Linked DNA regions of Mus musculus: region 2 is reported to be linked to region 1. The links are microRNA targets in miRTarBase. Many come from high-throughput screens and were not tested one by one. Region 1 holds a microRNA gene; the other region holds the end of a gene's coding sequence.

What was found. Region 1 holds the annotated microRNA mmu-miR-190b-5p (UGAUAUGUUUGAUAUUGGGUUG, at 2,838-2,859, shown strand). A microRNA usually pairs through its seed, bases 2 to 8, with sites in the 3' UTR of a target mRNA and lowers its output. Matches are read on the target gene's strand: a 7mer-m8 pairs with bases 2 to 8, a 7mer-A1 pairs with bases 2 to 7 and ends in A, and an 8mer does both.
Region 2: miRTarBase lists Tmprss3 as a target of mmu-miR-190b-5p. Seed matches in the 3' UTR shown: 8mer at 3,267-3,274.

Annotation. Positions count from the first base shown.
Region 1 is chr3:90,067,193-90,072,264 of GRCm38, forward strand. It overlaps Mir190b (microRNA 190b), which reads left to right and starts at 2,828; the gene lies at 2,828-2,907. 1700094D03Rik (RIKEN cDNA 1700094D03 gene) reads left to right here. Exons shown (of 4, transcript NM_028567.2): 4 at 1-1,155.
Region 2 is chr17:31,176,258-31,181,329 of GRCm38, forward strand. Tmprss3 (transmembrane protease, serine 3) reads right to left here. Exons shown (of 12, transcript NM_080727.2): 12 at 3,008-4,346. The coding sequence ends at 4,329. Among named protein-coding and RNA genes, the nearest start is that of Tff1, 14 kb to the left of the region's middle.

The sequences.
Region 1 (5,072 bases):
TGAACAGGAGTTACAAGTGTAGCATGTGTTTTGTAGATGAAGCCACAAAATGCCACCTGGATTTTGATTGACAAGACTGACTGAATCCTTCTGTCTGTCCCTGCCCTGTGTTAGTCTGGTCTGTACCCTCTTAGCCTCTTTAATCTTCCTTCTGTCTCCTGGACCACCTGCTGATTACCAGATAGTATGGCCTAGAGTTAATAGAATGGACAGATCTGGTTTTCAGGGTTGGCCTTTTCGCTTAGTTTGGTCTAGTCCAATTTTTAATCTGAGAAGCGGGTAACTGGGGAAACGGCTCAGTGATTGGGAGCACTAGCTACTCTTGCAAAGAACCCAGATTCAATTCCTAACATCTATATGGTTACTCAACAGTTCCAGAGTATCCCTTTCCCGGCCTTGGCAGGGACCAGGCAAACGCATGGTACACAGACATGCAGATAAAACACCCATGCATATAAAACATTTTTAAATAATTTTAAGTCTGAGTTTTGGTTGCTAATTTATGAAATGAAAACAATTCCAACCTTACTGGGTTACTGTGGGAATTAAATAAGACACCTAGAAGAAATCACACATAATAAGTAATACAAACAGGAAGCCATAATGCTGTCTTCCTACTCCATGGTACTTTCTTCCCTAATTTCTACTCCCACTACACTTTATAACCAACCTCTTCAGTTCTCTCTTCCTTTGTTCATTTAGACTCACTGGATGCCCCATCCTGTCTGCCTGGATCTCTGACCTTGGCCTGTTGCCTCAGGGCTCATCAGTGCCAGGCCGACTCCTTTATTGGCAGGTTGGCTCACTACAGCGCTCATCTTCCCTGACCCTCCCTGCCAATACTGTGTGCACTCATCACATCGCTCAATTGTACCCCACCAGTCCATGCTGCTGCTGGAGCTGATGTCACACCCTGGCCTTGTGACTTGGGACTTAAACCTATTTGAAATAGCTGCCTAAAAACCACTGGCAGAGCTCTGTGAGATGGTGCAGTGGATAAAGACACTTCCTACTAGGCCCGATGACCTGAGTTAATCAACCCTCATAAAGGAGAGAACAGATTCCTGGAAATTGTCCTCTGACCTTCACATGGGCACCATGACACAACCACACAAAATATGAAAGTGTAATAAAAATAAAAGGAAAGATAAAGTACTTTCGTTGGTGTGGTGTTTCTTCTTAACTGCGCCACCCAGTCTTCCTAGAGAGCCGCACCTCCCACACCAATATGCCCAACCTTTCTCTGTTCCTATAGTACCCTAAACTTCAATTCTGTTTGGGTTTGTTTTTGAGTCAAGTTTTCTCTATGTAGTCATGGTTGTCCTAGAACTCACTATGTAGACCAGGCTGGCCTCAAACTCCAGAGCTGCTCTTGCCTCTGCCTTCCAAGTACTGCAGTTAAAGGTGTCTGCTACCCTCATTTGGGGAGTCTTCCATTCTTTCTAGTCTCCTTCCAGCCTCTCTTCCTCCTTTCTGTTTCCCATTATGGCCAAGGCTCTCAGGAGGGAAAAATAGAACTTGAGAGATGAGGGGTAACATCAGTAAGTGGAGGGCAAGAATATAAATATTTCATACACACACTCAGACTTTGGGAACTACAAAAGAGAAAAGACAAAATACCACAAGCACCTAACTTGGGGCTTAGTCACATTTATTAGTCTTTCCCTGGGAGGCAAGTGCCACATCCAATTAATTGGAATTGATTGGTTGTTGGGACATGTTATTGATCTAAGACAAAGTCACTGTGAAGTTGTGTGGGGGAGGGAGATGTCAGAATTAATGGGAGCAAGGACACATGGAACATGCCTGAGGACTGATAAAGAGTGTTTTCCCAGCCCCCGTGCAGCTATAACTTGGGCTCCTTTTTGCCACAGTGAGTGAAGCATCAGCCAAATGGCACTCAACAGACCCAATTCTCTCCAAGAGGGGGAAAAATAACCAGGTTGAATCCCTATGAAGGAAGAGCCTTGGAGAAGGCAGCCCCGGACCTCTGGTGACAGAAAGCTGTAGAAAGGAATGGGAGTCCTGAGGGTTGCAGGCTGCCTCCTGACAGAAGCAGTTCCCTCTTGCTCTTGATCTAAAAGCCTTAGTTTCAATTCAGCCAGGAAGGAGAAGCTGGGAGTCTGCTAGTCTGGAGCCCAGACTGAAGCCTGTGAGTGCAATAGCTTTTCTGTTCTGGACACCCAATGGTACCTTGAAGGAGGATGCCTTAAGGTCATGAGGAGGAAACAAGGACCCAGATGGTACAAGCACCAGCCCCACATTGCAAACATTTTCTGGAACTCCTGTTGACTTGAAGCTATGAAGTTGGAGTCCATTGAGAAGACTGAGCAGTCTCACAGGAGAAAAGAAATCTGGGAACGTTAGAAGTTTGGTTGGAAAGGAGAAAGTAGAGGAGATGCAAACCCCTAACCTTACCCCCCGGAAAGCCCTGGGCAGCTGAGGTGGCATCGAAAGGCAGGTGGCAAAGCTTCTGAGGCGCTGCTGACATGGTGATCCTCTGGAAGCTGGTGCTGTCACACAACAGGGAGGAGAAGAGTTGTGTGGGAGCTTCGGGAAACGGTAGGTGCCCGGATATGAAGCCCTGCCCAGTGTTCTTGAATTACAAAAACATGATCCAGCACACACTGAACACAGTAGAAGAGGGGTTGTGGTGGGGACGGCATGAAGGACAGATAACCAAGACCATATTTGGGGAGTGAAAGACCACAAGGGTCAGTGCCCTTGAAGATGGGTTTCCTCCTGTACATGGTGAGGCTCTGGTTCGTCTCCCTGACCTTTCTTCACAGAGAGGGGAGGGGCCGATGACGACCAGAGTTTGCCTGCCTGCTTCTGTGTGATATGTTTGATATTGGGTTGTTAAATTATGAACCAACTGAATGTCAAGCATACTCTCACAGCAGTAAGGAGACTTGGCACCACCTCCTTGGCTCCGTCAGCCCCTGGGGCTCTGAGACTCTTGTCTGCCTGACTTTCTGGTTTGTTTTCAAGACAGGGTTTTCCTACATAGCCCTGGTGGTCCTGGAGCTCACTATGTAGACAAGGCTGGCTTCAAACTCACAGAAGTCCTCCTGCCTCTGCCTCTGCCGCCTGAGCACTGGGACTAAAGGCACATGCCACCATACCCAGTGCTTGTTTTTTTTTGTTCCTTTTTTGTTTTTTTGTAAAATGTTGGTGATGGGACCCAACACCTCATATTCACTAAGCAAATACTCTACCACTGAGCTATAGACCCAGGTTATTACATTATTTTTTATTTTATATATATATATGTATATGTATATATATATATTTGCTGTCTTCAGACATACCAGAAGAGGGCATCAGATCCCACTACAGAGGATTGTGAGCCACCATGTGGTTGCAGGAATTGAACTCAGGACCGCTGGAAGAGAGCAGTCAGTGCTTTTAACCGCTCAGCCATCTCTCCAGCCCTATGATTTTTTAAAAAGATTTATTTATTTATTTATTTATTTATTTATTTATTTATTTATTTATATGTGAGTACACTGTAGCTGTCTTCAGACACTCCAAAAGAGAGCATCAGATCTCGTTACAGATGGTTGTGAGCCACCCTGTGGTTGTGGGATTTGAACTCAGGACCTTCAGAAGAGCAGTCGGTGCTCTTACCTGCTAAGCCATCTCACCAGCCCCATGATTTGTTTGTTTGTTGTTTTGTTTTTCTAGACAGGGTTTCTCTGTATAGTCCTGGCTGTCTTGGAACTCACTTTGTAGACCAGGCTGGTCTCGAACTCAGAAATCTGCCTGCCTCTGCTTCCCAAGTACTGGGATTAAAGGCATGCACCACCACTGCCCGGCTAAAAGTATCAGTTCTTTGTTGTTGTTGTTGTTGTTGTTGTTTGTTTGTTTTTTGTTTTTCAAGACAAGGTTTCTCTGTGTAGCCCTGGCTGTCCTGGAACTCACTCTGTAGACCAGGCTGGCCTCGAACTCAGAAATCCACCTGCCTCTGCCTCCCAAGTGCTGGGATTAAAGGCATGCACCACCGTGCCTGGCGATTCTTTTTCTAACTAAATTTCTCTCCACAACTCTCCTAAAAGAGATGTATATAGAGCCCATGTTAACCCGGAAGGCTCATGTGGAAGTGGGAGAGAGCTGAAATTTGAGGAGCAACTCTTCATATATCTTGCCCCCTATGGTAGAAAGGATGTATCTCTCCTCCTTGTCTTCTGCTCTTGTCTTTTTCTCCTCTCTATTGCCCTCTTCTCTATCAACCCATACATGTCCTTTCTCTGGTTCTCTCTTGTCCCCTTTTCCTGACTGGCCTCTCAATTGGGGGTGCTTGTTTTCTTTGCTTTCTTCCAACAGTTAGCTGGAAGTCTCTCCTCCCAGTCTGTTAGTATCAGTCTGTTCTTAACAGGGAGGCTCTCGAGAGGGAGCCGGCTCTGCCCCTGCCCCCACCCTGATGCTTGACTCCGGTCCCACACTGCTGTGGTTTAGCCTCAACACTAACTATCCTTGACATTATGAATTAATTAGAACCACTTCTACTTGCTCTGCTAGCTCCAGTCCGGTCACCTTGAACAGTGTCCACTCCTCTGGCATAGATGGGTATATGGCAACTGTGTATGGGATCAATTGCCACCTGTCAATAGCAAGATTCCAAGTGGAATTATGAGCATAGCTGGCACTACACTGGGGGAAGTAGAGCTGGTGGACACTATAATGGCATGGTGGACAGCGGGCTGGGGAGGGGGCCACAGAGGGAGCAGTTGAAGAGGAGTAGAGGAAAGCGACAGTCTTCAGTATGTCAGACCTTCTATTTTAAGGTCGCTATGAGAAAACGTGATCCTGTTCTGTGACCTCCTTGTTTCTCATCCCACTTGACACCCTGAGATACCCTTTCAGATCCCAGGCCTTCAACTTTATCCTATGGCCTTTACAGACTAATGTCTCCTTGCCTATTAGAGAATCCCAAAATAGCCCAGCAATCCCAACTGTCAATCTGGGGGAATTGTCAACGATCATGAGTGACCTCCCATCGTCACTGTTGACCACGCTCCTTAGATACCAGGAATCCAAAGACCAAACCAGTAGAGTTTGGTCCATATCCA
Region 2 (5,072 bases), not on the chromosome of region 1:
TTATCTTATCCATCTAGAACTGTAATCCAAAGCAAACTCTTGCTTGGTCACGGTGCTTTGTCACAGCAACAGAGAAGTAACTAACACAGAGGAGTTTCATGAAACTTCAGGGAGAATCTAGTCTCTATAAGCACACAGAAGGGGTAACTAAACTAGGATCCAGCCCCTCTCAAAGATGGTACTGCCGGATGGATAGACAGACCATGACTCTGCATGCCGAGTTCACTACAGGCTCTGCCTGGACTGTGTGGTCTCTGCCTGCGGCAAGCCTACTAAAGCTTTGTTTTACAGGATGTGGGTAAGGATGGGGCACAGTGAGACATCCTTGAGTTGGTGACATTTAATTTTTAAGCAACAGAGGGGCTTGGCAGGTGGCTCAGTGTGTCACAATGCCTGCCATGCAAGCATGAGGGCCTAAGTTCAAATCCCCATTACCCGTGTTTAAAACAAACACACAATGCTGAACATGGACACACGCACACCTGTAACTCCAGCACTGGGAGGACAGGGCAGGGCAGAAACAGGATTGCTCTAGGGCTTACTGGTCAACAAACAAAAAACTCTAGATTCAACGAGAGACCTTATCTTAGGAGGTAAGGGAAAAGAGAAACAGAATGATGCTAACATCAACATCTGGAAAGAGAAGAACATGGCCACCCTACTGACCTCTGCCTTGAGCCAGCAGCTATCTCTGGGAAAAACAAAATGCTGCCCTAGAGGAAGAAATCAGCCAGGACCTTGGATCATGGGTGTCTCTGATGGCTCTGAATAAGTAGTAAAATGCCAGAGTGTCTGGTCCCATGTGGCTTTCATTCCCACTGAAACAGACTAAGATGAGCCATTCTTAGTCCGTACAGTGCTGGGCCAATGTGTGGTCTTAAGAAGGTGCATCCTTTCTCACACCCTAGACTCCTCCCCATAGAAGAGGGATCACTCGCCAGTCCTACTTCTCAGTGTTACTGGACTAACATCTAGTCATCTCCATGTGAAAGCCAACATTTGGGAGATGAGAACTTACGAGATGCAATCAGGCTTATTCGAGGGCCAGCACCTTGGCAGATGGATAAGGCTGTCCTAAGAGCTCTGCTTTGGAGGATTCGGGGATGCAACCGATGTTTACAGGGAAGAGAGAAGCAGAAAGGCTGCGTCTGGATGCTGTCTTGACTTCCAGTACCCTTTCCCTCTGGCCTGAGCCGGACAATGGAGTCCAAGCTGTTGCAAGCCAAACCTCACAGAAGTGCCCACACTTCCTAGTAAAGACTATGAAAAGGCTGAAATGTTTTATGTTGTATGAAGAGCACATAGATGTCCTAGATCCTGTAAACCTAAAGAAATACAACTCAGCAGTTAGCACATTGATCCTTTAGGCAGGTCTTTTCTTTTGAATTTTGAGTGCCAGGCCAAAGGAAAAGGACCTAAGGCTTGCAGAGGAGTAGGAAGGTGAAGCAGGCCTTGTGGCAGGGTGGCTGGGGGATGTGGGAAGGCTTAGGGAAGGGAAGCAGGAATATGGAGGGGAATCAGGCCTCGGGGAAGAAGTCCTGACGAGGGGCAAAAGAAGGCTCTGCTAAGAATGGCTCCCAAGAAGTAGCTAAGCTGTCACAGCCTAGCGCAATGACAGTGGTAAGACTATTGAAATGTGCAGAGGTTAGACCAGGCACCCAGTCTGTGCTGATTGGCTGGGCTGCCATCTGAATTATCCAAGATAGTCTGTAAGCATCGAAACAACAGTGACAGGAAAGGATGAGGTCATAGCAGGCTGAAACCTTCCTTCTCCAACCTGTCTGGCTCTCTCAAGGGGGATGGTTACGTAAGAAAACACCTCACTTCACAGCTTGCCTCTATCCCACGGAAACTGGCAGTATTGTCAAAGAGAACCTGGCAAAGCCCACCGGAAAAGAGAGCACCCTCAACCATCAGCTAATGTTCCTCCTCCCAAAGTTTCGCTTACAAGAAGTCGACTGAATACAGTCCAATGGTATTAAATGGAAAATTCCAGAAACAAACTACTGGTGAGTTTTTCGGTTACTGTTTTGAATACTATAGGGGAAATCTCATGCCTTTCCACTCTCCCCTCACCACCCCTGCCAGGACATAAGTCATGAGTCTGTACAGTGTGTCCACACTGAATATGCTACCCACCTACTAGTGATAAGGATAGTGAAGCTTCATTTATGGGGCAGAATCTTGGTAGACCAATGCTTATGTCCAAATGACCCTTATTCTACTTTGTAATGGTTACAGATATAACGAAAGAAAGACATAACAGCCTTGTAGGTACGAGCCTTACTAAGATCCTTGTGGCAATGGGCAGGGTTCTGAAGGGAGAGAGCCTTCAGTTTGGGGATTTGAAGGGAGTTTCTGACTCTTAGAGGTTGCAGGGAGGGGAGTTCACACCACACCAGTGACCTAATCTGAGTGTTAGGAATGGAGCAAGAAGATGCTAGATAGGAGGGTGACTTTGAGTATGAGATGGCCTTGGGTCAGTGCATGGGGAGCCCTTGATTGCCTCTGGCTGCAGATGTGGGGGTGGGGGCCGGGGGAGGGACTATGGAGGAGGCCACAGTAGGTCCCACCTGACTGCTCTCTGCCTGAAGTGGCAGAGGCTGCAAATGGCATGGCTTGACATCTCTGAGCTTGCGACATCTGCTCTCTGTTGTACTGGCTAGTTTTATGTCAACTTGACACAAGCTAGAGTCATCAGAGAGAGGAGGGAGCCCCAGTTGAGAAATGAGCTTCCATGAGATCCAGCTGTAGGGCATTTTCTTAATTAGTGATTGAGGGGGGAAGGCTCAGCCCATTGTGGGTGGGTGCCATCCCTAGGCTGGTGGTGGGCTTGCATTCTATAAGGCGGCAGGCTGAGCAAGCCATGAAAGACAAGGCAGGCAGGCAGTAGCAACCCTTCACGGCCTCTGCACCAGCTCCTGCCTCCAGGATCCTGCCCCGCTTGAGTTCCTGTCCTCACTGCTGTTGATGATGAGTGTAACATGTTAGTGTGAGCGGCCATATGTTTTTATAACTGCTGTGCTTTATTTTCAGTGAGGATAGTCATCTCTTACTGTGACTAGTAGATGAAGCACATCTGTAGGGAGGGATGCATATGGAAAAGAACCATCCATATAGGGCTCGGAGCTGCCCACAGTTTCAGGTACCCACCGTGGGCCTTGGGACCTGTATTCTATTCACAGAAAGCTATGTGGGGGCTCTAATCTGGATAGGGTTGAGTCAAAGTACAATGGCTATGTGTGTACAAAAGTAGTTTGTCCTGGTGATATGTCTCCCCCCACACACACACATGCACACACACACACTTTTTGTTACAGCCACAAAACAACTGATTCCTACTCTGAAGACTTCGTCTGTGACAAGCCTGAGTGACCCATAGCTATGTCTCACATAACCCTCCTCTGTTATTGGGTAATATGGGAACCACAGGACTGTGAGCCATGTAAGAGGGACCCGGACACCATCAGCTATGACCCATTAGCAGAGTGCACGGGGCGGGGGGTAAGGCAGAACCCATCACTTAGGACTCCTCGATTCAGCTTGCTTTTAGTGCCCAGTCTTGTCTCTGCCCAGACCTGTGTCCCTCACTCTGCTTATGCATCCCACAATGCAATATGGGATACTTCTGAGATCTGGGAAACCTATTCTAACAGGAAAATGCAAACTCTTGACGTGTGTAGGATGGGCTTCTGACGTGAGCCCATGATTTCTGTGCCCACCACCCACCACCACGCATTCACTCAAGCCCGAGGACAAGCCAAGCTACACAAAGGGACACCTTCCAGAAGGGAGGAATTCGTCAAGCACCAAATCCTGTGAGAAAACAGTGAATCAGTCACAGACCAAGTTCCCCACTCCCGGAACCAGCTCTGGGAAGGAGACGATTGGGTGGAGATCTGAGATCTGGGAACAAACAGGTGACTGCATCTTCACCAATTCACATCAGCAGTTCCTGGCTTCGTAGCTGCCCCAACTGGTGTTCGATGGCTTTGCATGAGAGCTTGCCTGTGTTGGCAGGCACTCTGAGGAGAAAATCTAGGGTGGTGGCAGGGAAAGGTGCCACTTGTGTGCATGAGTTGGTTCATGAAGCACAGAAAGAGCATCCAAGGTCGTTTCAGCCCCAAAGTCCAGAGGTCAGGGGCTTTAGCAGCAAGCCACTCCAGGTGTCGGGGTTAGGAGAATGCTCTTCCCGCTGTCTCCCTTTCAGTGCAATGGGCAGAGCAGTAAAGCTGATACTCGCATCCAACATGGCCACACAGGAGTCCAGGGAAGGCTCGGGCTGTGACCACCCTCAGGAGCTCAGGGGCTGGCTGGTTCCCTTTTCTTCAAGTCTTCAGATCTCTCTAGAAGTGAAAACAGGGACCGCTGTTTTTCCCCTGCAAACCATGTCTCAGACAGGTTTTTCCACCAGGTGTTATCAATGGTTGCTGAGGAGGGAAAAGTCTGCCAGCTCTGGATGGCTCCCACCCAGGAAGCCCTTTGCACTCTTCATCTCTACCCAAGACTGTCCCACAGACTGCTACGTGAAGGTGCTACGTCTCGGCTGCATGCTCCGGGGGATTAAGTTAGGACAGAAACATTTTGTTTTAAGCCCTAACTGGATAGGGAAACATGCTCAGTAGGGTGAGGATGGTGGCGTGGGGACTCCCTGGGCCTGGCATAGAACAGTACCACGGAGTGAGAGGAAGAACCTCCCAGGGGACAAGCCAAACCTGGGAATCTTCCTACAGAATGGAGGGGGCCTCCAGACCTTCCTTGAGCTACTTGGAAAGCGATTTAAAAGCAGATGTGTCTGGCAGGTGACATTTCCTGCAGGTCCTCCGTGGTCAGAGGCAGCTGATGACTAAGATGCCCAGAGAGACTGTCCAAAGCCCAGCCAGCCACCATCGTGAAGCCCCTCAGACAACAAGACACTTCAGAAACCAGGTGGGTCTTTCCCTGCTTGCCAGTGAGACTTGATACACCAGCCGTTCTAAAAGAATGTTCAAAATGTTAAGTTCACCTGGTCCTTACACCAGATCCCTAATTGAGACTGACTGGAAGAAGGTCCTGGGGCTCTTTAGTTTTAG